Linked DNA regions of Stegostoma tigrinum. The protein of the gene in region 1 purifies or fractionates together with the protein of each later gene. This does not show direct contact. Links are inferred from orthologs where the notes say so. Each region holds a gene or a part of one and is shown in the gene's direction. Other genes may lie near its edges.

Region 1 (7,945 bases):
AACCTGCCCCTCACATTTCCTTTGAGCTTTCCCCCCTCATCTTAAATGTACGTCCCCTAGTGTTAGATATTTCAACTCTGGGAAAGAGATTCTGAACATCAATACTGCATGTGCATCTCATAATTTTATGGACTTCTATCAAATCTCCCCTCAGCTTCCGCAGCTCCAGAGAAAACAACCCAAGTTTTTCTAGCCTCTCTATAGGTCATACCTTCTAATCCAGGCAACATTCTAGTAAACCTCTTCTGCACCCTCTCCACAGCCTCATCCTTCCTGTAGTGTGGTGACCAGAATTGAACACAGTACTCTTAAGTGTGTGTCCTAACCAAACACTTATAAAACTGCAACATGACATCCTGACTCTTGTACTCAGTTCCCTGACCAATAAAGGCAAGCATGCCATATGCCTTCTTTACCACCCAGCTACTTGCATGACTGCTTTCAGGGAGCTATGGACTTGAATCCCAAGATCGTTCTGTACATCAATTCTGTTCAGAGTCCTGCCATTAACTGTATACTTTTCCTTAGTATTTGATTTCCCAAAGTGTAGTTACTCACACTTATCCAGATTAAACTCCATCTGCAATTTCTCTGCCCACATCTGCGACTGATCTATATCCTGCTGTATACTTTGAAAACCTTCTACACTATCGACAACTGTATCGAACTTCGTATCATCCGCAAACTTACTAACCCAACTCCCAACATTTTTATCCAGGTCATTTATATATATATCACAAACGGCAGAGGTCACTGTGTGGATCTCTGTGGAACACCACTAGTCACTGACCTTCAGCCAGAAAAACATCCTTCCACCACTACCCCCTGCCTTCTATGGGTAAGCCAATTCTGAATCCATGTGGCCAAGTCACCATGGATCCCATGTATCTTAATCTTCTGAGTGAGCCTACCATGAGGGACCTTGTCAAAAGCCTTACTAAAGTCCATGTAGACAACACCCATTGCTCTAACCTCATCAATCACCTTCATCATCTCCTTGAAAAATTGAATTAAGTTAGTCAGACATGACCTGCCCTGCACAAAGCCATGCTGACTGTCCTTAATTAGGCCGTGCTTTTCTATATGTGATTTATGTAAATTTCGAAAGCCTTTGACATGGTCCCACATGGAAGGCTGCTCCAACAGACCCAATGGGATCCAAGGCAGGTTGGCAAAATGGATTCAAAATTGGCTTGCAAATGGGAGGCAAAGGATGATGGTGGAGGGTGTTTCGTAATTGTAAGCCTGTGACTAGTGGTGCACCACAGGGATCAGTGCTGGGACCCTTGTTGATTGTTAAGTATATTAGCAATTTGGATGTGAATGTAAAAGGTGTAATTAGTAAGTTTGCAGATGGTACAAAAACTGGTGGTGTTGTCGACACTGAGATGGATGGTCTGAGGTTATAGTCTGATATTGGTCAGCTGGTAAATTTGGCGGAGCAATGGCAGATGGAATTTGATCCTGATAAGTGCGAGGTGATGCATTTTGGGAGGTTTTATAGGGGAAGGATATACACAGTGAATGGTAGCTCCCTAGGGAGTACTGAGCAACAAAGAAACCTTGGTATACAAGTCCACAGGTCCCTGAAAATGTCAGTACAAGTAGATAGGGCAGGGATGAAGGCATACGGGATGCTTGCCTTCGTTACCAAGAGAGAAGACCAGAAGCAGAGAACTTCATAGAGCATTGGTTAGGCTACAGATGGAATGCTGTGTGTAATACTGGTGTCCACTCTATCGAAAGGATGTGATTGAACTGGAGAGGGTGCAGAGGAGATTCACCGGGATGTTGTCTGGGATGGAAAGTCTCAGTTATGAGGACAGGCTGGATAAAATGGGTAATGTTCCTTGGAGCTGAAGAGGCTAAGGCATACCTGATTGAAGCATACAAAATTACGTGAGGTATAGATAGAGCATATTGTAAGAATATTTTTCCACATGGCAGAAGGCTGGGGTTATTTTCCCTGGAGTGTTGGATGCTGAGAGGTCACGTCATAGAGGTTTATAAAGCCATGAGAGGCATGGATAGGGTAAATAGTCAAGGTCTTTTCCCTGGGGTGGGGGAGTCCAAAACTAGAGGGTGTAGGTTTACGGTAAGAGGAGAAAGATTTAAAAAGGATCGAAGGGGCACCTATTTCATGCAGAGGGTCGTGCGTGTGTGAAAGGAGCTGCAGAGGAAGTGGTACAGGGTTATCTCTGATCACAATTATAGCCTCACTGCGAAGCATCTTCCAGGGATGCCTAACCTGAAGAAGTTACCCTCCTCCCTCCGGACCAACCTCAGGAAATCTCTCTCCCACTGCAACTCTCTTGTAATTCGGTCCACCTCCCCCTCTCTCCCTATTTATTCCAGTTCCCTCTCCCCATCCCCCTCTCTAATGAAGGGTCTAGGCCCGAAACGTCAGCTTTTGTGCTCCTGAGATGCTGCTTGGCCTGCTGTGTTCATCCAGCTCCAAACTTTGTTATCTTGGATTCTCCAGCATCTGCAGTTCCCATTATCTCGACTTGAGGAAATGTTTCTTTTTGCCAAGAGGGTGGTATAGATGTTGGGGAGGCAATGGCCTAATGGCATTGTCGCTGGACTGTTAATCCAGAGACCCAGATAATGCTCTGGGGACCAGGATTCAAATCACGGCTGGTGGAATTTGAATTCAATAAATATCAGGAATTAAGAATCTAATGAAGACCATGAATCCATTGTCGACTATCAGGAGAAACCCATCTGGTCACTAATATCCTTTAGGGAAGGAAACTGCCATCCTTACCTGGTCTGGCCTACATGTGACACCAGACCCACAGCAATGTGATTAACACTTAACTGCCCTCTGGGCAACTGTGTTGAGCAATAAATGCTGCCTAACCAGCAACACCCTCATCCCGTGAAAGAATAAAGGAAAAAAGATATAAATGTGCTGCCTGAGAGAGTGATGGAAGCAGGAAGTCTCACAACATTTAAGAAGCATTTGGACTGGCACACAAAACGTCAGGGCATAGCAGGCTGTGGACCAAGTGCTGGTAAAAGGGATTAGCGTAGTTTGATGTTTGGTGGCTGAAGGGCCTGTTTCTACACTCTAAGACTCTATGACTATGGCCTATTCCTACTCAAGCGTAACTGGAAAACTCTTGTCATTTTTTATGTATTGAGTCCACTCAGGTATGCCACAGGTCTCTATGCTTGTCTGAGAGTGTCCTCAGCTATATACTGATCTCAGTAATGCTGAAAGAACTGGTCCAAGCCTGTCTTGTAGACATTAGAACTCTCATTTCCAAGTTTTCCTCATTTCTTCCTTGGGCCCCATTTACAGCACATCGACAAAGTACAAATTACAAACAGAAAGTGTTGGAGATATTCAACCAGGGCTAGGCCAGTATTTATTGCCCATCCCTAATGCCCAGAGGGCAAAGGCAACCACATTGCTGTGGGTTTGGAGTCAAATGTAGGTTAGACAAGGTAAGGATAACAGTTTCTTTCCCTAAAATAGCCAGATGATTTTATTTCTGACAATCAACAACAGTTTAATGTCGCCATCAGACTCTTCATTCCAGTTTTTTTTACTGAATTCAAATTCCACCATCTGCAATGTTGGGATTCAAACAAGATATCCTAAATTAATCTAGTCCCATTCGTCAGCATTCTCTAAACCCTTCCTATTCACATATCCATCGAGATGACTTTTAAATGTTGTAATTGTACCAGCTCCTCACCACTTCTTCTGGTAGCTCATTCTATATACGTACCAGTGTCTACATGAAAAAGTTGCCCTTTAGGTCCCTTTTAAATCTTTCCCCTCTCATCTTAAACCTATGTCCTCTAACTTTGGACTCCCTTCACCCCAGGGAAAAGACCTTGTCCCCAGAACATTACCTAGGTCTCCAGATTAACAGTCCAGCATTAATACCACAAGACCATCCAGGTCAATAGACTCCAGAGTTTAAAAACCAGACAGGATAGCACACCGATGCTTCATCAGAGGCTGCACTGAGGATGTTACCCAACATGGTAAGGAAATGTCTGCGGAACAACAAACCAGCTCAGCGAGCCAACCAACCTCAACACCCACAATCCAAGCTACAAATCTATTCCAAAACCTTAGAGGCCATCATCTTCCCCAGAAGGATAAGTGGTCTCAAAGTTTTGGTTATGGTTTGTCTTCAACAAACACAGGGAGTGCTGGAGAAACCTAGCAGGTCCACCAGCATCTGCTGCCTCACAGTGCCAGGAACCTGGTTTCGATTCCACCCTCGGGTGACTGTGAGGAGTTTGCACATTCTCCCCGTGTCTGCGTGAGTTTCCTTAGAGTGCTCTGGTTTCCTTCCACAATCCAAAGATTTGCAAGCTAGGTGGATTGGCCATGCTAAATTGCCCGTAGTGTCCAAGGATGTTTAAGTTAGGCAGGTGAGACATGGGGAATGCAGGAGGTGGGAGATGGGTCTAGGTGGGACACTCTTTGGAGGGGCAGTGTGAGCTTGTTGGGCTGAATGGTGTGTTTCTATACTGTAGGGATTCTATGAGCAGAAACAGTCAACGTTTCGAGTCTGGTATGGAATGCATTCAGAAGTGATATCGGAGTTGAAACATTAACAGTTCTGCTCTCCACAGAGGCTGCCAGACTTGCTGAATGCATCTGGCTTTTACCTCGGTGTTTGATTCAGATTTCCAGCAGCCACAGTATCTTGCCAAGGTTTTACTTCACACCGTAAGATACTTTAGTGCAGAAGTTGGCTCAGTTTTGCAGATGCTGGCCATTTTAATGTTTGTTTTGTTTTAATTTCAGATTCCTGGCATCATCTCGTAGCATGCTTGGTTACACATTGATGGGATAATTTGAGGGAGGTGTGTCAATGCGTGCGTGTCACTGACTGGGAGAGACAATGCCTCCAGGTGAGGAGGGCCCTACCTGCTGGCCCCGCCCACTCACTTCCGCCCGCCGCCGGACAGGAAGTGACGTCGCGGTGTCAACATGCAAAATGGCGGCCCATCATCGGCAGAATACCGCGGCCCGGAGGAAAGTCCAGGTGAGGGGCCTGCGCGACCGTCTCGGTCCCTGCTTCCCCGACCGCCCGGATGGGAGCCGCCACCTTCCTCACTTCCCGCTCCCCGGCGCCTCTCCACAGCCCTGCCCAAATCCAGCGCTTGCAGCCGCGATCGGGAGGAGGGAGAGGGGAAGAGGAGAGGCGATTAAGGGGGGTGGGAGGGAGAGAAGGGAGTGGAGGAGAGGGGATGTGGGATGGGGAGGAGAAGGGACGGGGAGTTGTTGGGAGGGGGTAAAAGAGAGCAGATTGGGGAAGTTGTGGGTCTGGAGGGAGGGGATGTGGGAAAGTGGTCAGGAAAGAGAGAGAAAGGGGCTGGGGATGGGATAGAGAAAGCAAGATGGGAGAGTGAGGCACTTTGTGGGGAGAGGGGTTCACGGCCTGTGCTAGGGCCCTCTTCCCAAATCTCCCCAACCCCCTTTTTTTTGCTGTCCCCACCCTGGTCCACTGTCATGTTTGCAATATTCTAGTTTTTCTGGAAACCAGTCCTTTCTTGCTGAACTTTTGTGTCCAGGAGTCATCTGTGATCTGCTGTTTGTTTTATTGTAAGACTTAATGTTAGAGATTTGAAACAAAAAAAAATCACTGGAAAAACATGGTAGGTGAGGAGAAAACAGAGTTAATGTGTCTGACCCTTCTTGAGAACTGATTAATTCTGAGCTATCACTCTTTGGGACCTGTGTTTCAGTGGTTTCAGCTTCATCTGCTTTCTCTCCCATCAATTTAGTTTTGTTTGTACAGTTTCCTTTGTATTCTGTGTGGCAGTGGTTTGTTGAGTACTTTTGAAGTAGGGAGGGAAGAGCCTCCTTTGGCACAGAAACACACTAGCATAACCCAAAGTGGGCCAGATGGCCTGTGTTTGCTGTGAGTTCTGTTAAGACTTTTAAATGGTATTATGCCTGTGCATTACTTGTAGCCTGTTGCTTCAAATTGCTGGTATCAATTACTCCATCAGCAGCAGTGCTGCAGTTATTTCATCATACTGATGTTCTTTTGCTCAGTATCCTAGATTTTGCACCTCAGTTTGTGTACTTTCAGGTAAGTGATCTTTTGCAAGTTTCCTGTGCAAAATGTAAGTCTTCACTATTATCTTCATCTGCAGTTCATATATTTTTCAAACTTACCTTGTATTTCAGAAGACCCAACATGCACTCTGTAGAAGGGCAGAATAATCTGTAGTGTTTGAATACCTGAATGGCTTGATTTGCAATTAGAATCACAAATTGTGCATTTTTTCATTAAGTTTGTTGGACCATGGAATGTGTTGTCAAAAAATGTGGTTGCACCTTGTCAGGGAAATTTGTACGAATCTTTGAAACAGTAGAGTGCATGGCAATGGGGAGAAAGTGGTACTCAGATGAATAATAAGTTGCTTTTGCAGAGCACAAGTGCCTGCACTTTTGGGAGCTATAGGGCTTCTCTTGTGATGTAAACGTCCATGGTTCCTTTATAGTCAAGATAGAGATGTTTTCTGAAGTTTGTGCGATGACACTTAGGTAACTGGTTTTCTGTGAATGAACATGTTAAGCTCTGTGAGGATTAATATTCTGGTTTGCTTTGCTATCTATTTAAGTGTTGATTTAAAACTAATTTGGTTTTGAAATAAACTGTAGAAAATCCTCTTGCTTCCAGTGACATTGACAAACTGTTGAGCTTTTGTTAAATGCTTTATGAATTTGTCTGTACTACTTTTTTTATCTTGACATCCTGCAACCTCTTCAGCGAGCCAGTATTGCACATTCCGAAATGTACCAAGTGCAAAACAAGGAAACGGTTCGTAGTCACGGAGGTATTGTGCTGGGCAGTTCTAAATGGGTCTACAAAGGGTGTCATGACGGGCTATGCAAAAGACTTGAGAAATTGCTACCAAGGCTGAAGGCATCGTTTATGCTGAATGATTCAAGAAGCTGATAAAGCATTAGCTGCTGAGGTGATTTGGTGGCCTACATGTAGAGGGAAACATCCAATATTTTATTGTGGTCTTTCTTCGTCAGAAGTAGCCCCAGCCTTAACTATTAACTTTTTTCCCCTCTCTTGTCACACAGTTGTAGACTTATTAAATATTGCCAGAGTTTTGTTATTTTCAGCTTTCAGTATGTGCAGTCTGTTTAAGCTGTGATTTTTCTCAGACGAGAGTTGACAGCTTCTGATCTGTTCAAGATTGTCAGGGTTTTGGATAGAGCAGGTAGGAATTGTTACCTTATCTAGATAATGGGAACTTAGAATCCATAGGTTTAAAATAACTGGCAAAAGAATTAGAAGGGAAATTACAAATGTTAGTACATGTGGTTGTAAAAACCTGGAATGCACGGTTTGATAGGGTAGTGGAATGAGATTCCATAGGCAGTCAAATAAAAGCAAAAAGTAAGCTACAAAGTATGAATCTGAAATAAAAGCAGAAAATGCTGGCGCACCTCCCCATGTCTGGTACAATCTGTGGAGACAGTAACAGAGTCAATGTTAAGTCCAATATGACTGAGTCCTATTGGATTCAAAACATTAATTCTATTTTTTCTTCTCCATAGATGCTGCAAGTCATGAGTTACTTAACAACATTTTCTGTTTTTATTTTGAAAGGCAATTTAGATTTGAATTTAAAGGATACAGATTTGCAGGGAGCTGATGAAAAGGCAGAATTGTGGGGCTAGATTGGACAGGTCTTTTTTAAAAAAAAGACCTGTCCAATTCTCTTCCTTTTGGTCCAGCCATATTCCATGATTCTGCGCTATGCAACCAGCGCATTTTTGATGCAGTATGACAACTTTGGATGTCGTCATATTGTCTGGTTGTGGCCTCTGCTGTTTGGTTTGCATTTTAACATGTAGAGATTCAGGTCCTGTTGTTACAGCTGACATTGAGTCTGAAACAGTTTGTGATAGCAAATGTGTTACTGACAGCAGATAAAAATCACT
Region 2 (6,903 bases), on another chromosome or scaffold:
CCGCAGAAGATCATTGTCCTTATTTCTACAACACTGGGCATCCTGCTTCACCTGGAATATAGCACTGTAGTATTTTTCTTTGCTGTCAGTGTTGAATTCACTATGACCTCTCTTCTAGGAACGTTCCTCTTGAAAATTTACCCCACCTCACTCCAAGGGATTTTCCATTTATTGCTTCCACCTTACTTAATTGAATTTTAGCTTCTCCTTGACCACGATCGTAAATCTGAAGCAAGGTCACAGACCTGAAATTTTAACTTTGTTTCTCTCTCCACAGCCGATATCAGGCCCGCTAAATATTTCCAGCGTTTTAAAAATTTTTGATTTTCAGTAACTGCAATGTTTTACATTCTTTTAAAATACTTCACATAAGGCAAGATAATAGTTCAAGAGACATTTTTTTAAAAATAGAAAGACAGACAATCTAAAAAATCCATCAGAATAAATCTGTTCTGAGAGGAGGAATATACAGGGGGAAGAAATGATGTTACAGGTATTGTCTCTGATTTAGTAATCCAGAAACCCAAGTAATGTTCTAGGTTCCAGGACAGAGGGTGGAATTTGATTTCAATGAAATCTGGAATTGTCAATTCCATTCTCAATTGTCATAAGATAAAAACCTTTCTGGATCATGAGTTTTCTTTAGGAATGGAAATCTGGTATCCTTACTTGATCCATCTAAAATGTAACTCCACAAAAAAGAAATGTGTTTGATTCCCAGTTGTCCTTTGAATTGGCCTAGGAAGCCTTTCAATTGTATCAAATCATTTAAAAAAATCTCAAAAGAAAATGAAATCACACTAACCATCTGGCATTGAACTAAACATAGGAAATTACAGCAGTAAAGTTAGCCCCGTTGACCCTGTAAAGTCCTTCTTACCAATATTCGGGCACTTGTTCAAAACTTGGAGAACTGACTTACAAGCAGCAGTTTGACAAAGTCAAAACCATGTAAACATACCTTGATGACAATGTCTCAGATACTATCCCCACTCTGGGCATATTCTGTCTTATCAGAATGAGAGCAGAGGTGGTGGCACAGTGACATGCCCTGGGAGTCCATAAGACCATAAGACATAGGAGTGGAAGTATGGCCATTTGGCCCATCAAGTCCACTCCGCCATTTAAATCATGGCTGATGGGCATTTCAACTTCCCTGCACTTTCCTGTAACCCTTGATTCCTTGTGAGATCAAGAATTTGTTGATCTCTGCCTTGAAGGCATCTAACGTCCCGGCCTCCACTGCACTCCATGGCAATGAATTCCACAAGTCCACGACTCTCTGGCTGAAGAAATGTCATCCCATTTCCGTTTTAAATCTAACCCCTCTAATTCTAAGGCTGTGCCCATGGGTCCTGGTCTCCTCGCCTAACGGAAACAACTTCCCAGTGTCCACCCCTTCTAAGCCATACATTATCTTGTAAGTTTCTATTAGATCTCCCCTCAACCTTCTAAACTCTAATGAGTATAATCCCAGGATCCTTAGTCGTTCATCAGTCCTCAATGTTGATTCTGGATCACACGAAGTCTCATTGCATCTGATAAAACATGGACAAGGATATCTCCTATTGATTACCAAATATCACCCCCATCAGACGATGATTCAGTATTCCTCCACGTTGAATTTGGGAGGAAGCAAAGAAGGTGGAAAGGATGCTGAATCTGCTCTGGTAGGAGACTTCAACTTCCAGCACCAAAAAACATATTTGTTTTTCCTTGATCCTTACCAATCTGCCTGTGTGAAATATCTGTCATCGGCAGAATTAGCAGGAGTGACCACTGCAAAATCTTTGTGGAGATGAAGTCCCATCTCCATACTGAAGATACCTTCCATCATGTTGTATGGCACTACCAAATGGGATAGACTGCGCACATATCTGCCACGTTCAGTGGTGAACAGTGGTAGACAATTAAACAACTCATTGAAGGAGCTGGTGCCACAAGTATCCCCATCAACAATGGGGAAGGCCACAGCATTGGTGAAAAGGGTAAGACTTAAGTGCCTGAAACACTCTAGTCAAAAATGCTAAGTGGATGATCCATCTCAGCCTTCTTCTGAGGTTCCCAGGGTCACAATTCACTCCATGTGACACCAATATATGGTAGAAGACACTGGATACTGCTAAAGCTATGGGTCCTGGTAATGTTCCCAGAATAGAACTGAATTTGTCACATCCCAAGTGAAGACCTTTGAGTGTAGCTGCAACACTGATCCTTAGACATCACATTCTAAACCCATGACCACTACTGACTAGAACAACAGCAAGAGATATGTGGAAACACCACCACCTGTAAGCTTTCCTCCAAACTTACTCATTGTTTTGACTTGGAAATATATCATTGTTCCTTCACTGTCACAGGGTCAAAAATCATGGAGCTTCCTTCCTAATAGCATTTTGAGGGTATCTACACCAAATGGATTGCAGCAGTTCAAGACAGCAGCTCACCACCACCTTCGAGGGCAACTAGGGATACATTATAAATGCTGGTCCAGCCAGCAATGCCCACGTTCCATCAATGAATAAAAAATAACTCCATTCAGACGTTTTCTAGCTGTTTGATGTAAATTTATTATTGCAGTTGACAATGTAAGCAGAATACTTTGAAATAAAACAAAGAACTGTGGATGCTGGAAATCTGAAACTCAAATAGAAAGTGCTGAAGAAGGGTCTCTGGACACAAAATACTAACCATGCTTTCCCTCCACAGATGCTGCCAGACTTGCTGAGTTTCTCCAGCAATTTCCATTTGTGCAGAGTACCTTTCCTGTTATAATTTCAATACCATTATTTTCAGCTATCTGAGGTTGATCTAAGGTATGTCATTTATCATTGGTATAAGTTCCTAATGTAATGAGGATTGTGTGTTACAATCTGGCTATGTTAAAAGTGGGAACAGAAAGAACTGATTGTGGATTCTGAAGGGCGCTTACAAAAACCTACATCTCACCAGTTTGATAATTAATTCTGAAGTGCCACAGTTTCACACAAATTACTAGCCTGACAACACTGAACTTTAATCTTGTTTATCCAGCTTTAAAGTACAATAGGTATCTTTTTAACATGCCATTTGACAGATAGATTTAGTTACCAGCATTCAGAGGATGTTACCAAAATTCTTTCTTAGTGGATTTTTTTGCTGAGTTCTAGCCAAATGAGCATATTGAAGAAAATAGAAGACCTTATTCTGTAGGTTCAGTAAATGCAGATGCTGACCAATATTCCATAATTGAGTATTCTTCAAGCAAGATGCTGTTAATAATATGGGCCCAGGAAAAGTGTTGTAGAAAAAACTACAAGTGTTCCATAATGACAATGACTTCAACAACTTGGATTCTATAAACGCCCTCCACAATTGTTCTTATCAAGCGTATTTATAATGCATGGGGAGGGCGAAGAAGAGAGAGAGAAAGCTGCAACTTAACCGAGGTGTCTGAATTAATAAATGCTTTACAGAAAGAGAAAATGGAAGAAGAACTTTAGGATACAATCTACTCATGTATGTACACAAACAAAGCACAGACGTATGGTACATACAACTGAAATATTTTTTAAAAACTCTTCATATGTTTTACACATTATATTCTCCTCCTGCAAATATTGAGCAAAAGGCATTTTTCCTTCTCGGAAGCGACAATTAATAAATCTGACCATTACCTGTAGCCAAAGCCTTCCCCAAACAGGAACTAGCTGCAACCCAAAGCACCTTTTCTAAAAAGCGTGTTTCAATATCAAGCAGCTGATTCGGTAGGATATCGTCTGAGTATTTACGGAGCGCTAGGAAGCGGAATTGTTTAACTGCATACGAGCCTCAGTATTTTTTAAACGTTTTTTGTTTTTGCCTTTTATTGTGTAATTCCTTAAACGGTAAATGTAATTTTACAGTTGTGGTGAATGTGCGGCTGGGCGCTGACGTGTGTTGGCGGGTGATTTATTTCTCATTTTGCTTCAAGCTCTGTTGTTGTGGGAGAGCGATGGCCAGGCCGGTGAGGTGAGTGGATTTAACTGGGTATGATCGAGGAGATAGGCCCGGAATATGGAGGCGACATCCTGGGGTGTGGGGGAAATGGTGGACCTTGGGAGAGGCTTGGTGGCGGGGAGAGACCCGACGGTGGTATGTTCACATTCAGGACGAGGGAACATTGCTCCACAAAAGACCAGTCGTAGAATTTAGTACATGGTGTGCAGGACTGCAGAAATTATATTTGAAAATTCTCTAATCTGTGCTGGCATTTCAGCTATTAGACGAGTTCACATTGTCAAATCCAGATAGACTTCTAGGTTTGACAGAAATTAAATATGCAGATAAACACATTCTGAGAAGAAATGTCAGAAACACGATAAAATAAATATACTTGGAAAGCAGTGTTTTCCATCTGTTTTCATGTTGCAAATGGGGCAATCAGCCATTCAAAAGAAAATGGAAGTCTTAATGTCATTAAAGATCAAGATGTAGGTGCGAAAGAAGAATTTGAATGAGGAGAAATAAGGACAGAAATGCTTTTGTTGAATTCTAGAAGCTAAGAGAATTTGGGACTTACATTAGACAAATGAACCCCATAAATGCACAGAGTTCAGTCAAGTAATGTTTCAGGTGTGATTCAAAGTAACATTGCACCATGAATTAGCATGAAAAGTATGGTAGAATATTCAAAGATTCAGAAGAAGAATGTGGATACATGGATCAAAGAGGGGCCTTTTTATGGTCGTAAGAAGTTTCAGCCCAATGACGAATGTGTTGGTGGCAGAATCTTTCAGTTGATTAGTATTAGACAGCTAGTGAGTTTTGAGAAGGTTTGTAGCTCAGCTGCAGAAAAAACTAGACAAACTCACACAAAATAACAACACAGAAGCATGGATAAAAAACTTATCTGACTGACCATTAACAGATACTGAAACAGCCGATTTAGTAAGAGGATTAAATTACAATTTCCGGAATGTGGACAAGAACTGAGCTACAAAGTATTAGATGGTGGCTGTAGGTCTGCACTGGGTGAAGTAGATGATTAAATTGGTACCTATACTCTCTGATAAATAAGGGTTGGACCAAAGGCAAGGAATTTGAGATTCTACCAGCTTCACATTTGGAGAAAATAACGTACAAAATCTTGTTTTAAAAAGAGTAATTACTCCTTGTAAAATAGCTATAATTAAATCATTTTTTCAGTGTTCCATTCAATACTGATGTTATTGAGTAAGCCTTTGATAAAAATAAGTGTATATGAAACTGGATATGGAAAGTAAGAAAGTCAATGGATTTGGAAAATCCTGTAACTTTGCAATTTATGCTGGTCAGATACTACTAAGTAAATTATTTTGAAGAAGTGTTATTGACATCAGGGGATAGAAATTTAAAAGACTAATAGTTAATTGTGTTAAAACAACGTGGGCAATTTGTTGATGCCTCCGCCAAAAGGTTAAAAATTTTAGTAAATGATTCAGGAACACGGAATGAGGAATGTTACAAGTTTGTCGAAGTGTTAAGTAATAGATGTAAGATATTGAAGGACGCTGTCATGCCTCCAGTAGGTCTGCTGTGAGCAAGGTACTTCATCGAGATAGTGGTAATGGACATAAAGATGTGGGATAAGAATGAAAAATGTTACATATAGGTTTGGCAACCAGATTGAATCAATCAACAATAACACATAGTAAAAATATGAAAATAATTATGGATCAAGTAATGAAAATGGGGGTGGGACTGGACGTGGACTGAGAATGAGTATCTGAGAATGGGGGGTAATTTGCCCGTGATAAATTACAAGATATATGCAGAAATATGAACTTAACAGTTCTGAATATGACAGCAGGAAGCCATTTTACCGACAGGCTATGTGAAAGGAACTATGCAGTAATAGACAAAATGATTCATTGTTTATGATTTGGTCTGCCAAAATTCTATCGTCTGCACGAGCATGGCTGGCAATGTCAAGAATTCACTGCAGATGATCGTAAAATATAGTCCAAATCATTTAGTAGTTGTTACATATCGTTAAGTTCTATCCATTATAAGTCATCAGCACCCAGCTTGTGAAGGGTCTACAATTAACTTTACTGTGTTGAACATTTGAAGGCACTACATGCAGGCAGACAGGCTTTTAATAAAGTGACAGTTTCACAAAGGATCCAGCAATCTTTAAAGTATGGTGTAAAGCTATTGGAAACCAGTTTCAATCAAGGAGATGTTGTTTATTATGAAAGAGAGGGGCATAAATAGTAGTGGAATCGTAGAATCTCTAGAGTGTGAAAGCAAGCCATTTGGCCCATGAGTCCACACCAATCATCTGAAGACCATCCCAACCAGACCCACTGTCCTATCCTATACTTGTAACCCTACCTTTCCCACAGCTAGTCATCCGAGCCTACACATTCCTGGACAATTTATCATAGCCAATTCACCTAACTTGAATATCTTTGAACTGTGGGAGCAAACATGCACAGACACGGGAAGAATGTGCAAACTCCACACAGACAGTTGCCATAGGATGGAATCGAACCTGGGATCCCTAGCACAATGAGATGGCAGTGCTAACCACTGAGCCACTGATGCCTAGGAAAGGTTATTGGTAAGGATGGAGAAACAATATTTGTATAGCAAGGGACAAGGTTGCTTGGGAACATCGTTCAAGAATTGCTTGGTGTAAATTTCAAATTTATAGATTCTAAAGGAGTTAAAGAACAGGATAGGGGATCCTGATACTTCTCGTGACCATATATTACACAGCTATGTGGATCAGACTTTTAACATTGACAATTTGTTTACTGAAGGATGGACTAATTCAGATTATCAAAAGGACAGCTACCAAAGTGGGTACGAAAGTCATATTTGTGCCACAAGGGGCTAGTCAGTGGAAAAACTGGACTATAATTAGGAGATTGAGTAAGGCCACTGGAGAGTATAACA
Region 3 (6,946 bases), about 140 Mb from region 1:
CAGGTGGTTAAGCCACCACTTTAAAGGGCCATTCCTTGGTAATGTGCAGCATTGTTTGTGGCTTTCAGTGGTTCTATCTATGGATCCAGCTGTCTACAAATGATCTAAATTGGCTCATGGTCTCATCTATACTTAGCTTTATGACCCCTAAAGTTTTGGAGTAGATTTGTAGCTCGGGTTGTGGGTGGTCGGCTCACCAAGCTGGTTTTGTTCTGTAGACGTTTCATTACCCTGCTGCGTAACATCATAAGTGCAGCCTCCAATGAAGCACTGGTGTGTTTTCCTGCCTGGTTTTTATGACCCCTTCCTGCACTACCATTCCTTCAAAATCTTTGTTCCATTTTACTTTGGCCTCTTGTGTATTTAACCCACTTTTTTTGCCCCACAACTGGCATTAGTTCCTTCAGCCATCTCTAACCAAGTAGTTGGTAGCATCTATTATTATGTTCTTTGGTTCAAAGTCTGCTTTCTGGCTACACTTTGAAATGCCTTTGCGTGCTTTTCTAATCTTAAAAGTGCTATGTAAATCTCTGGTCTTGCTGATTTGACTTAATTTGTTAGAGTAAGCATTTTCAATTTATTTTAATATAAAACTAAATTACCAGGTTTGAGTCATTTATATATCAATAATTCCTTTATAATAACGATCCTTTTGGTGCTGCATTAGCATTGAAACATATGTTATTGCCATCTGTTTCTTCTTTTTAAGTTTCATAAAACAGTAGCTAGCAAAGGTTCAGCCACTGCACAAAAAGCCAAAATTTGGAAAAGTATTTGTATAATCTGCATTTGTAGATATGCGTTGAATAACTCTGGTCAAAAGAGTTCATTACTATTCTGTGCAGCTGTGTTATATTAAACAAAATAATATATTGTACACATTATAATTTTGTAGTCTGTGAGCAGGCAGCGGGAAAGTTTTCAACTGAGTTACTGTCCACTGTATGGAATTAGAATTGTGCCCATTACCATAATTTATTCACTCTCTAAAAGGAATGCTTGCTTAAGACAGTTTTATTTTTTGATCTACTGTTGTCACACATACCTAGATGCAGTGAAAAGTGTATTTTGTGTACTATACAGGCAGATTGTACCATACAAAGTGCATCAGGGTAGTAGAACAGTGCAGAATTGTAATTTTACAGGTGCAGAGAGATGGATCAGAATTCTATTTTAAAGTTCTGATATAACTATGGGGGGGCGGGGGGGGGGGATTGTTTTTGAATCTGTTGGTACATGTTTTCAAACTTTTGCATCTTCTGCCCGATGGAAGATGGTGGAAGAAAGTATAACTGGGATGGTAGGTGTCTTTTGATTATGTTGATTGCTTTCCCAAGGCAACAGGAAGTGTAGATGGAGTCAGACCTGCTGAGTGTTTAGCAACTTTGTTTTTGTTCAATAGACAGAAGGCTTGTTTACATGACGGACTCTGCAGTTTTGTGCAGTATTGGAAAGAGCCGTTGCCATATGCTGTGATGCATCCAGATAGAATGCTTTCTATGGTGCATCTATAAAAATTTGCAAGAGTCCTTATGAACATACCAGATTTTCTTAACTTCCTCAGGAAGTTGAGATGTTGTGTTTCTTGACTGGTTTTAACTGATGTAATGAAGATTTTTTAAAATTCTGGTCATATGAACTGCAGAAAAGACCATTTCAGTCCCAAGGAAAAGACTGGAGGATAACAGTGAAAGTGTAAGCAAAGCCAAAGTAACAATAAATACATTTAATAAAATATCCCTAATTTCATAGACTTATAGGCAAGTATAGTCTTATGCCAAGGTTTATGAAATTTCCAAATTATGGGGGTTGCATTTGGTGGGTTTGAGGACCAAATGTTTCCAGAAGATTAACCCCCTCTTTAATTGATCTCTCCTCTCCTGCAACCAGACCCAAATGCTGTGTTAATGACTGAGTGACAGAAAACTGCCCCACTGCCCTGTATATGCAACTTCCTGCTTTACAATGCCCATTTCTAGACTGCTACTAAGGCTGCTCATTCTCAAAACTAAATATGCAGAATTAGTGTTGCTTAAATGTTGCATGGCACAGTACATCAGTATTTTCTGAGGAATGAGAGGTCTCTTTAAAGGTAATTCATTTTGTTGTTTAAACTGTAGATAGATCGACATGACCATTAGAAAGTGAGCACTACAACTGTCTCTGAATACCACTAATTCACATCTGCAAGGCTGGGTCACCAAATAAAACCTGTATTCAAGTAGGTACATTTATTAGGCCCAGAACCAAGCTTCTGGAGGGCAGTTAGTCACTGTTTTATAAATTGTAGATGCTAACTTGTACACAAGTTAGCTCTGTTTTCTGCAATAAAACGTGAAAATTGCTGGAGAAACTCACCACGTCTAGCGGTATCGGGGCAGAGATGCAGAGAAAACAGTGTTAGCGTTCGAGTCCAGTAAGCCTTCGTCTTAACACTGGCCTCGAAACATTCACTTTTTTTTTTCTACACAGACGCTACCCGACCTGCTGGGTTTCTCGAGCGATTTCGGTTTGTTTCAGAGCTCCAGCAAATGCAGTCCTGTGATTTTTAATACGGTGTCGATCCGGCTGAACACAGCAGGCCAAGCAGCATCAGAGGAGCAGGAAGGCTGACGTTTCGGGTCTGGACCCTTCATCAGGGGGAAAAAAAACTGCGATTTTGAGTGAAATGCTCATTGAAATACGATCCCGATGCAGTTCTTTCGATCTGAAGGCTAGTACATCTGTTTCTTTCCCTAGGAAGTATTCTGGCGTAGTGACAGAATAGAATATTCATCAAAACTGAAGTTCGTTGAGTTACCGAAACTGGTTAACATTCCGCGACAGGCCGAATTGGGTATTCCCAGTGGTAGTGAGGAACATAACTTCCAGCAGCTGGTACTTTGAGTTGTCAAGTTAAATGAACTTTGCAGATAAGATTGTGAAGCAAACGGGTTCGGATCCGCTGGGCTGTTTTGGTTTTAGAAACTTCCTCACATTGCCCCGAGCTGCAACAGAAATGTCCTGCTCTTACATCATTAAGTATAATATAACATCGGATATCTGTGGGTCGATTTCAAACGCCCCCCAGGCCCGTTTTCTCATTGAACACCTCGCCGGTGTTGGTCGGAACGAGCGCACCGCTTCACGGGAGTTGTAGTTCGCTCTTCCCCATCCGACCCAGGGAGACCGACGTTCTTGTTTTGGGAAGGACTACAAATCTCGGGGTGCTCTTTGCGCTGCGTGTGCCGCCCCCAGAAATTGGGGGTGAGAGCGGGGGAAGCAAAAGTCGCTTCTCAACGGCCAGGTCACGAGAGGACACCACCAGCAGCCGCCAACCCCACCTTCCAGAGCGTTAGAATTTATAAATATTCATCTTCCCAGCCCTGCCCCCTCGTAACAAAATAAAAGACGATTTTTACTTGTGGTCTTGTTTGACCATAGATATGTTCCATTTTTCAAAAAAATGTATATAAAGAGACATTTATATGTATATCCCCTGAAGATAAGAAATGTGAGAGAAAAGGGAAGGCGGTAATGAATATTCATGAGGAAAGGGGGCGGGTGTCTTAAATTAATATTCATGAGGCACCAGCCGTTGGCCGGAATAAGAGGAGGGGAATTGGGGAAGGGGTTGGTTTAAGGTAGATGGGGTGACGGAAGGATTCGGTTTCAGATGATTGGTAGGGGAGCTTTTGGTTTAAAGTGGAGGGAAGGTTGGGTTTAAGGGGACGGTGAAGGGTGCGGGAGGGGTCGGCTGAGGCGGAGGGGGTCAGTTGAACGGTTTGGGGCGTGATCGACCGAGGGCGTGGGGTTGTTCTGAGGGGGGCGGAGTCCGTTGGGGGCGCGGGGTCAGTTGATGGGGAGAGGTCGGTTGAAGGGGAGGGGTCGGTTGGGGGGGCGGGCTCTGAATCGTTGATGGGACTGAGCCCGCCTTCTCCCGCTCAGCGTTGTTCGGCGGCGCTCGAGCGTCTCTTGCACGTTTATGGCGATAGGAAACTGGATCTCCTGAGGGAGGAAAAAAAACCAGTGACACTCCCAAAATGCTGTCATTAGGCCCGAATTCAAGGAGATAAGACGTGTCTCGGACTGGCTTTTGATAAAATAATCCTTCGTGTGTGTTTTATATGTCTATGTATATTGTGCGTGTGAAAAAACAACAAAAAACTGTTTTGGGGAACATGGAAGCCGCGTTGGTTCGCGATCTCCAGAGAGAGCGCTCGCCTGTTTCGAGGTGTAAAAGCGTGAAAGTGAACGGCTGCGGCAGTACCGTGAGCGCCGAGGAGGTGCAGCGACTGGATTCCTGCAGGGAAGGCGGAGGTGGGTGCAGCGGATCAGGGCAAATTCCGCTGCCTTCCAGCGCCGCGGCCACCTTGCACCCTCAGCCCAAGCCTGGTAACCGTAGCTGGAACAACAACTCCAACTCGCTGCTGTCCAGGAGGAGACTGAGGAGGAACCTCTCGGCCACCGCTGCCGCCTCTTCCTCCGGTCACGGCCGCAGCTTGGACCGCAGGAAGATGCCGGGCACCAAGCTGACTGCGGCCGACCGGGAATGGGTCCGAGCCGATGTGCAGAGGGGCTGCCTGCATCTCTACGATAGGCACATGTCCTCCTACCTGAGACCTGTCATCTGCACCCTGGACACCACCGCGGCCGAGGTCGCCGCCAAGTTGCTGCATCCTGGTCGCACAGGGGCAGGGTGTATACCAAAGGCAAATGGTGTGGGCATGACCAGCTTGACCCCTGTGCACAACGCTGGCGGTGCCAGATCGGGGACATCAAGGAGCACCGGTGCCAGGCCAGGACGGGGCTCTTTGGTCACGTCGGGACAAACCGAGACATCGAACATCAGATCGTCAGACATTGCTGCTCACGGAAAACCGGGATTGTCACTAGTCACTGCTGGCCAACACTTAAATATCGATATTGTCCGTAATGAGAAAGCTAATACTACCCTTGCCAGGTTAGGGACGCCACTGGATAATCAGAATACCACACAAAAGGAAGTAAATATAACGAGTGGCACACAGGTGTACTTAGCACCAGCCACTGCCAAAGACGGACCAAAATCTGATACTGAAATTTACAGGCTTCGATCTTCATTGAATAATAATACCAATCAACTGAAATCGTCAAACCATTGTTTCAAATTGATGGCTTTGGAAAATGCTGCGAGGCCATCGCTGAAAAGCACCAAGGTGCATTATGAAAATGTAAATAGTGATACCATAAATGACACTGTGGTCAAGGTAGAAAGTGTGGACAGACCTGAGTTGAGGAGTGATTCCCTTACTGGTGAAGGTCGGCTGAAGTCTTCAATTCCTGACACTTTGGGAATGCAGGTTACTGATGGTTTGCTCACATCAATGGTTTATGTTCAACTTCATGGCGAAACTACCAGAAGGCTGGAGCCACATGAAAACCCCCTTGAAATACAAAATGAGTACCTCTTTAAACTGGGGTTCAAAGATCCAAGTAGGGTGCAGGAGGAGGGAATGGACGTTGAAATTGGCTGTCTGATTCGATTTTATGCAGGTATGATTTTCTTAGGTGATAGCGATTATTAGCTGTGAACTTCCTTTCCCAGAGCAGAATTGGAATGCTACCTGTTAGCAATGTTAAAATCGATAACTTTTTATAGATTTACTCTCAGCACTAAACTAAATGTTTTTTCCTGATGTATTCTGAGACATATTCGGAGAAACATCATTGCAAGTATAGTAAAAATATTCAGTGACGGTTTAGGATTTTAAAGCAACAAAAACCTTTTGGTTTTTATTTTATTATTCTTCTAGAAATAAAGGAAAATGGTAGAAAAAGATGTTTGGTTGGCTGCAGTGACTCAGTTTACTGACGTATCTTTTAGACCAGGCAAGATGGGGATTGGGATCACAAATGCGGTTGCAAATGCTGAGATAACAATGGCTATGATGGAACTTATCAGCTGTACCTCTGCTTTTGTAGGACCCCTCACTCTCAGTTCTCACCGACTGGTCATGACAATTTTACAGCCTTGAAATAGTGTGACTGTGGGAAAATTTTTGGGAATCACTTTTTTAAAAAGATAATGGTAGTAGCCATTCTTACAGATGGTGAAAAGTGAAACTACAGTCATCTGTAATTGGCAGAAAGGTGAGGACTTCTGTTTGTAATGTTAGGTACAGTGATTTTTAAAAGCACCAACAGTGAGTAATTGAAATATTGTTTAACTGACATGAACAAAGTGCTTTAAAGAAAGCATTAACATTTACTTCAATTGATGGCGAATATTATAACTGTAACTGCTGAGATTTTAAAAAGAACATGGCACTGATGAAGCCATAAGTGAGTCAGATGTATGTTGTTCTTGTGCAAGTGTTTAAAGCCGCCATGAAATTCAAGAGGAATGTTATATTGCTGTTTGCATACTTTACATTTCGATTTGTTGCCTCTTTAATGTTTGTGTAGTTGGATTGGCATTCAAGAGTGCTTCGAATGGGTTTGTTTTTTAATGCAGAGTGCTGTTTGTGTTAAGGGTTTAAATAATGCAGTGAAACTGCTTGACTCACTTCCAGAATATGCTACACAAAAGATACTAGTGCTGAGGATAGCTGACAACACTGGTGACTACTCTTCGCTTTATTGTCACTACAGATGGTTATTACGTTCTTCCCAATGCACAAAAACACTCCCTCCTACATGATCAGTGATCTTGTGCTTTGCTTGATAACATGACAATCTCCTTTGTACTCGTATCAAGTTTATTCACAATATTTATAATTTGTGCCATATCTGGCTTGCAGATATGCTGTGAAAGCAATTAATGTGCTTAATGTGTGATGTTATTGAGCTAATCTTTTTGCATGCTTGATTTTTCATGACAGAGCATAAAATAAATATTTCAGTTTACCAGACCATGCCCTATAACTGTACCTGCGTTACAACAGAATCACAGAATTGCTGTGGTGCAGGAGGCCTTTTGGCTCAT
Region 4 (7,615 bases), on another chromosome or scaffold:
CATGGAAAGATCACATTAAGAATTTGGCAGTGCACTTTGCGACCACAGAAGGCAAAGTTGGTCATAAAATTTGGCAAAAACAGAATTTACATAGGCAGAAGTGACATTCTTAAGGCCCAACATTGGATACAGGCAGATGACACGGAGAAACAAGATGAAGGCCATCGGGGAATTTTCAAGATCGTCCTTGAAGAAAGAAGTGCTACAATTTTTAGGATTGAGTGGATTGTACAGTAAATTTGTACCAAACTTTAGTAGCGTGGTAGTACCGTTGATAGATTTGTTAAAAAAAACACAAAATTTCAGAGGACAGAACAATGCTAGGAGGCATTTGAGAATTTAAAAAAGTGTTAACCACCACACCAGTTTTCATCATGCCAAATTTTTTTGAAACGCTTCAAAGTCACCATCAGCGCAAACAATGTAGGTGTTGAAGCTGTGATTACAGGATGATGAATGTGGAATAGAAAGGTCAATCGGTTATTTTTCAAAAAAACTCAATATCCACCAGAAAAAATAATCCGTCATTGAAAAAGTTACTGATTTTAGTAATGTTCTTACATTTTAAATTTTCCATTGCAAACAATGCAGAGATAATGGTGTATCACAATCCATTGACATTTCTGGAAAGATTTAAGGACATGAACACCAGATTATTTTGTTGGGAGTCTCACATTACATGCATTTAATTTACAGATTGCACATGTTGCAGGTCATGGAAATATTATTGTTGATGCTTTATTATGAGTTTAAAAGACAAATGCATATAAGATAGAAACCGTAGTGTTCAATTTAACACTAATTCTATTTATTACCGTGTATTAACTAGATTAATGACCTATGGATCCAATAATGTAATGGAGTTAAGGTTTCTTAAAAAGAGAAGCCATCTTTTCGTAATGATGGCTCATTTTTAATGGCAGAACAAGGTGTTGTGAAGTTGAATAGAACACTTGTGGATTGGGAGGCAATACTTAGAATTTGGTGTTTCTAAACTGCTGGGGGCGGGGGGAGCATTGTGTGGTCCCTTTAAAATATCATGCACTTTTTCTGTGCTTAGACTTTTAAAATGGACATCAGCGAGCAGCAGCTTGAAAGTTTGCAAATACACAGAGCACCGAAATTGAAACATTTGTGTTCAAAGTTAGCAGACCAAGCAGCAGTTTTTACTAAGACAACAGACTTCTGAATTTAGCCAAATTTGAACCAGATACTTAAATACCAAAAACCCACTAAGTTTAATTCTGATGGCTCTGACATCATAGGACCAATTCTATTTTAAGAAATATTGGTATGTCGTTAAGGATATAAAAGACAGGGGCAGTTGGGCAAAGACTTCAGAGGTAAACAGGTCTCAGCTCTCAGAATTACTGGGTCTCACAGCCTCCTCTACGTCTTAGGAGAAACCACCATCTAAATAACAACAGTATCAACGGCACATCGAGTTACCATTCCTGTCAGAAGAATTGACGGAGAAAGCATAGAATATACCGGAAGACATGTAACTTGGGCTGTAATTGAGAGTCTAAATTCTAGTTTTTATATTAGTGGGATATGTATTTATTAGAACTGCATACCATCAGAATCTTGCTTCATTCGGGAATATGAAGGGATTTATTCCATTTGTTAATAGTTCAGTTAATTTGTTCACTGTTAGAGTTAGACAAATAAATTGTACTTGTTGATTTTAAAATGAGTGTCAGGGATTTATCTTAATTAACCAGTAGAAGTTGTTGAAAGGCAGGTTACACCACTTTTCACAATGCTTTTCCAGATTATGGGGTGAGGTGGAGGTGCTCCTTTTTGGGTGTTTTGGTTTTAGTATGTGGGGAAGTGGGGAGGTTCAACCTCTGCTTCATAACAGTGGAAATACAGTCACCTCCTCACATAAAATGTCCAAAACGTTACAAAAAATGCACTGTGAAGATAGTCCAATACTCTAGACTTTGTTTCAGAGAATCCTGCGAAGCTGAACTGTAATTTTCTCTTACATTTCAATGAAGAAGTCCTACTTAACTTAAAATCTCCCTCAACCACCTGCAGTTATGTCACCATATTTACACAATTCTGGCAAGTAAAAGGTGTTCATTTTCATCATCTTCTTCCAACTCAGAATTAGTCACAGTCTGGTCTCTGGTATGCCTTAATTTGTTCTGTAGATTAGCCGTCAGGAGTGTTCAGACAGCACACGTTTGGACTATCCTCTCCTGTAGATGACAATGGTGAAGTAGCAGCACTCAGGCTACTGGCCCACAGGCTCATCCACTCATTTCTTTTTTTTTGTTTTTCTACACCTATCAAAAAATCTACATTTTTGTCTCAGTTGCAGCAGCAGTGAGAGCAAGCACTGTGCAGAATGACAGATGAATATGGTGGTGCAGGTCTGGGGCGGGGTGAGGCCAAGTAAATATTGAAGGAGGCTGCGTCCAACAGCAGGAACACCACAATGAGGCAGATGGGGGTCCACCCAAGCCCTCCCGGCGAGTGAGGATCAGGTCCTACTTTTAAAACCCCAGCTGTGATTTGTGGACTGAACCAAGGCTCCAGGTCCACTGCTAGGCCCAAGTGACTCATGGCAGAAGCAGTAACAAGTTTGGTCCCAGCGGCACAGGAGGTAGCTGCATCCGTGAGGTTGGCTCAACATGATTTCATGCAGTGGCGACTTTGGTGGAGGTGAGATGGCACTGGAGCATGGCAATGCTTTGTTCCAGTGGCAACAGCATGGTGAAGCGTGGCTGCAGCTGTGTCGTTGGCTGGGACTGGAGGAGCCTGGATTAAGGCCATGGCTGAACTAAATGCAGGTGGTGCTCCAAAGACCACCTATCTTCATTGAATTAAGACTATAAAATGAACTTGGTTTTATTTTTCTGGCTTTATATTCTGTATTTTGGCTTACTTTCCATGTTTTAAGATGGTACTGGCAAGTGGTGACACTAAGCAACACTTCACTGTATTTATTATAAATACACATGACAATATGTAAATCGAAATAAATTTTGCCAGACATCACCTGAGCTCCCGCTTTTCTGCATAGGGAATCTACTAGGGTCAGAGGCTAGTACAGAAGACAAGAACAAGATCCAGCAGGGATTCCTAACAAAACAATCATAATTGATTCAATTTCCAATACGTAGATCAACACTGCTAGAATGACGTCTTCATAACCTCAAGACAGATTACAGCAACCTCCTTCAGTGCAAAAATCTGCTTCCAGCTAGTAAAACTAAAATTCCTCGCCTTATTTATTGGTCTAATCTTTATTATAAAGTCAAAAATGTTTGTACGAACTCTGCTCTTTAAATTTAACACAGCAAGACGGTTTTTAAAAGAAAACGCACAGACTAAAGTCAGATGAGGGGAAAAAAAACGCACAATAAGTCCCTACATGAAGACTAAAAATGAAAAGAGAAGACGAGAAACTCCCATACCAGTTACCGGAGAGGTTCGCAGCGCCAATCTGGCAAAGTATTTCCTATCAGAGAGCGTTGCACGCCGCTTACAGTAGACGAATGGACGAAGCAGACCCAACTTCTAACTTTTCCAAGAGATAGTAGGAACTGCCGATGCTGGAGAATCTGACATAACAAGGTGTAGAGCTGGATGAACACAACAGGCCAAGCAGCCTGCTAGACGTTTCGGGTCTGGACGCATCTTTTTAATTCAGATTTCCGTGAAAGGGTCAGCTGAAACGTCAGCTTTCCTGCTCCTCTCAGGCTGCCTGGCCTGCTGTGTTCATCCAGCTCCACACCTTGTTGACTAACGTTTCCAAGCTGCTATCAGTTCTGAAGGGTCACTAGGCTCGAAATATTAACTCTCCTCTGTGTACGGACATTACCAGTCCTACTGAGTTTCTCCAGTCACTTCTGTTTTTTTGAGACAACCAGCATCTGCAGTTCACAGATTCATGGAAACACACGGCAAAGGGAAAAGTCCCACGGCCTATCGGATCCGCGCAGGTTTAAAATACAACCAGCTAACTATTCGAAATCCTCTTTCCAACACCTGGCCCATAGCTTTGCGTGCCTTGGTATCGCAAGTGCACATCTATGTACTTCTTAAATGTTATGAAGGTTTCCGCCCCTGTCACCTTAATGAGCTGCAGCTTCCGACCACACGGTGAAAAATATTTCTCTCACACCCCCCTCTACTAAACCTCCTTCCTCTTACGTTTAATTTATACCTCTGCCTTTGCTTTTAATTCAAAAGGTGAAGATTTTTCCCTACCTACACTCTACTTCAACAAAAAAAAATGCATCATTTACTAACCGAACATCAGCTCATGCTGAAGTAACGCCGATGATGAGAGGGGAGTGTCCCGCTGTCGTTGCTCAGCTCTGTCGCTCGCGCTCTGACAGGGCACAGCCCAGGGCCTAACGGTCGCCTCCCCGCGTCATTCGGGGCGGGGCGTTGCTCATGATTGACAGCGACCGGGAGCCAATCCGTTGATGGTCTTGCCCCCGAGTGCGCGGGGCGGAGCCAGGCCTATCCGGGGCGGGAACGGAGGCGGGGATCAGTCTCGGATTGACAGGCGAGCGCTGCCGGCTGTTGGGGAAGGGCGGCGGGTCAAAGGTCAGACTCAGTTGGCGCCATTTCTCGGGGTTTCGGGCGCGTCTTTCAAAGAGATTTTATGTCTTTACCCCCCCTCCCCCGTCCCGACTCCCGTTTTAGGAGGGGTGGGGGGAATATTCAAGGCAACGGGTAGAGTAACAATTAATTGGGAGTTTCAGTCTCATGTTTTTCGTAAAAGGTGTAGCGTAAATTTGATCTGATGTGATTGATTGTTTTGTTTTCATTTTTAAAAGAAAGCAAATTATAAGAAGAGGCCTCTCGGGTGAGGGCCCCACTAATGTTGTAAAAGGGGGCCACCGAAATGTGTGTTCACAGATTTCGACCTGAGGTTTCTTAAAGGCGAGTATTTGGCTTTGAATATGGCTGTCTGATCTGTTAGTATTTGTTGGAGACACTTGTTTCCATAATCAGAAATGCGTTTTATATCATTATCTCTTTGTAAACATGAAAAAAAATGACAACTTACTTAACCTATATATTGTTGAATGCCTGTCCAAGATAACCAGCTGGAGCTCTTTGCTATTAATGTTCTTCACTGGTCTTTTATCAGGTTTGTGAATGCCCAGGGTAGGGGAAGATTAAACTGATATGGTTGGGATTATTGCTATGGCCAGAATGGTGGAGGAACATGATCAGGTGAGACTATTTGGATTGTCATTTAACTTCCTTTCAAATGTCTTTTTGGACGTAAAATTGAAATAGTTGTTGTCATTCACATTGGAGTGTACTGTACTTCACGTTTGTTGATGATCTACTACAACTCACTGATTACATAGGCAGTAATAGTGTTGCAGTCATTATAATAAATGACTTCTATAAAAGTCACTTTGGATCAAAGGGGTGCCATACTGTGTCATTTGGAGATTTTATGACGAACCAAGGAACTGAAAAGCCTTCAGCTGGAAAAGCAGCAGAACTGACTGAGATAATCAAGGAAAGTAAGAAGCTTCCCAAGACAGTGATTAATTTTGTTTGTTTGTTTTACAGCCGTGCAAGAAACAGAAGAAAGATGCAGAGGATTCCTACACAAAAACAATTACAAGCTACTTTTCACCAGTATCCAAATCCCTCGACATGGCCTGCCCATCACCCAAGTCCGGTAACATAATGGATTACTTCAAGAAAACTCCTGGACAAAATGTTGCTTCAGTTGCATCGAGTGAATGTGAACGAAAGAATTCAGCGGTAATATCTGTAGACTACAGTAGGGAATCAGTTGTAGTCTCTGAGGGGAAACACCAAATCTCCAAAAGGAAAAGACTCAGTAGAAGAACTAACTTAAGCCGGAAATTGAATGAATGCCGCAAGATTGTTGAAATCAATGATTCTAGTAACTGTAGTGTTGGAGAGGTGTGTGACGTAAGGTCAGGCATTGGAGTTCTTGGCAGTGATACAGCTGCATTGATTGCTCAGCTTTGTGCAGAAAGCCAAGATATATTTAAAGAGAATGAGGAAAGTGTTTATATGAGTTCCAGTACTCTACAAAGAGAGATAAAAGGACAGAACAGAAAGGACACTTGCAATGAAGTTGTCAGCCATTCAAGTAAAAGAATCACCAAAAAAACACGGAAACGAAAGGCTTTGAGTAAACCTGAAGGTTCTTCAGAACAGTCCGATGTTGAACTTGTGACAAAGGATGATTACTGTGAGGAGGGGATCGAAGTAGCAAAGTCTAAAGGGGCTACTATCCCCATGGTTCTTGAAAATGAAAAAATACATTTCAGTGAGACAGGTTTGGAACCACCAGCCAATGAGACTCCTCAGGCAAATGACAGCACTGTTACTGTGTCATTCGAAGATTTTATGAAGGACCAAGGAACTGAAGAGCCTTCAGCTGAAAAAGCAGCAGAGGCCAACTCTGAGATAATTGAGGAACGTAACAAGCTTCCCAATTTAATAGAAGACATGAGTTCAGTTTCTCCTCAGCCAATCTCCCCAAAAACTGTTACTGTCCATGTTCAAATTCACTCTAGTCCTCTAGCTACCTCAGCTCAAAATTCCAAAGTGAAACAGAAAAAAATAGCCTCAATTTTTTTGAGAAAGAAAGCAGACTCTGAAAGTGAAGTGATTGAAATCCAACAGCTGAGCCCACATCCTGCTGAGAGCCATGATTCAGTTCCTGCAAGGAGATCCAATGTGGTGATAGCAGAGGAGGAGTTGGAGCTATTGGTATTGGATGCCACCGAAAAGAGTCCTATGAAGGCCAAGTGTAGTCGAGCTGAAAGGGAACAATTTATGAATGCTTTCAGGCGACCGCCCTCTTCAGATCAGGCAAAAAATGCACTTAAAAGGGTAACGCAGAAGTCAAAAGCCTCCAAGCAAGGTTTAGCACAAGGTGAAGGTAGTGATGATGAGCCCAATCTTGAGAAGGGAAAAGGGGAATTCGTCCAGACTACAAATGCTGAGATATCAAGCCAAGTCTGCAAAGATTCAAGGGTGGAAAGCAGAGAGTCTGTAGGTGCAACTTTGAAGAAGAAGAAAATGTTAAAACTCAGAAAACTTAGAGCTGAATGTAAAAACCTAGATAGTTGTGAAACAACGGGAGAAGAATTTAATCCTGATCTGAATCTGGGCTGTGTCACAAGTAAAGAATCCAGAGACCGAATGCCTTTGGATCTAACAACAGCGCGTTCAAATGAAACTTGTAGAACTACACGGAGGAGCCTTAGACAGCAAAGAGATGCTTTAGACAATTGCCAGACACCACATAAAGCCATTGGAGTGGATTGTCTGGGCATTCCAGCTTGTCAGTCAACTCCAAAATTGAAACATTGGTCTTCCAAAGAAAATAGCTTCTACAAAGCAGAAATGATTCCCATGACCTGTAGCAAAAGCCCAATCAGGTGATGTGATTTCAAATCTCCACACTATTGCAGTGTTGATTGTAGCTGGAATGGTTCAGCAACATTTAAATGAAAGATGACCCTTATTCTACTAGCTGTAGAGATTTGCTAACTTTGCCAATGACTTTAACTGCATATTGTTGCATCTGTTTAGAATGTGTGGTTTAACGAAAGGTGGATACATGTGCCATGTGCATGGTGTT

Evidence for each region.
Region 2: the proteins of WD repeat-containing protein 48 (region 1) and rad51ap1 purify together in Homo sapiens (affinity purification with mass spectrometry; 5 studies listed by BioGRID and IntAct, counting the BioPlex papers as one, with this or other methods). This does not show direct contact. The link is inferred for Stegostoma tigrinum from reciprocal best matches to the Homo sapiens genes WDR48 and RAD51AP1.
Region 3: the proteins of WD repeat-containing protein 48 (region 1) and phlpp1 purify together in Homo sapiens (affinity purification with mass spectrometry; 5 studies listed by BioGRID and IntAct, with this or other methods). This does not show direct contact. The link is inferred for Stegostoma tigrinum from reciprocal best matches to the Homo sapiens genes WDR48 and PHLPP1.
Region 4: the proteins of WD repeat-containing protein 48 (region 1) and atad5a purify together in Homo sapiens (affinity purification with western blotting; 3 studies listed by BioGRID). This does not show direct contact. The link is inferred for Stegostoma tigrinum from reciprocal best matches to the Homo sapiens genes WDR48 and ATAD5.

The regions. Positions count from the first base shown.
Region 1 is NC_081355.1:148,392,456-148,400,400, reverse strand, and holds the start of WD repeat-containing protein 48, read left to right. Parts: upstream 1-4,944; 5' UTR 4,945-4,970; coding exon 4,971-5,018; intron 5,019-7,945. UniProt on the Homo sapiens protein: Regulator of deubiquitinating complexes, which acts as a strong activator of USP1, USP12 and USP46. Enhances the USP1-mediated deubiquitination of FANCD2; USP1 being almost inactive by itself.
Region 2 is NC_081378.1:34,615,576-34,622,478, reverse strand, and holds the start of rad51ap1 (RAD51-associated protein 1), read left to right. Parts: upstream 1-3,891; 5' UTR 3,892-3,973; coding exon 3,974-3,990; intron 3,991-6,903. UniProt on the Homo sapiens protein: Structure-specific DNA-binding protein involved in DNA repair by promoting RAD51-mediated homologous recombination.
Region 3 is NC_081355.1:6,235,508-6,242,453, forward strand, and holds the start of phlpp1 (PH domain leucine-rich repeat protein phosphatase 1), read left to right. Parts: upstream 1-3,933; 5' UTR 3,934-4,106; coding exon 4,107-5,514; intron 5,515-6,946. UniProt on the Homo sapiens protein: Protein phosphatase involved in regulation of Akt and PKC signaling.
Region 4 is NC_081375.1:3,872,860-3,880,474, reverse strand, and holds the start of atad5a (ATPase family AAA domain-containing protein 5), read left to right. Parts: upstream 1-4,594; 5' UTR 4,595-4,908; intron 4,909-5,119; 5' UTR 5,120-5,157; coding exon 5,158-5,205; intron 5,206-5,556; coding exon 5,557-7,412; intron 7,413-7,615. UniProt on the Homo sapiens protein: Has an important role in DNA replication and in maintaining genome integrity during replication stress.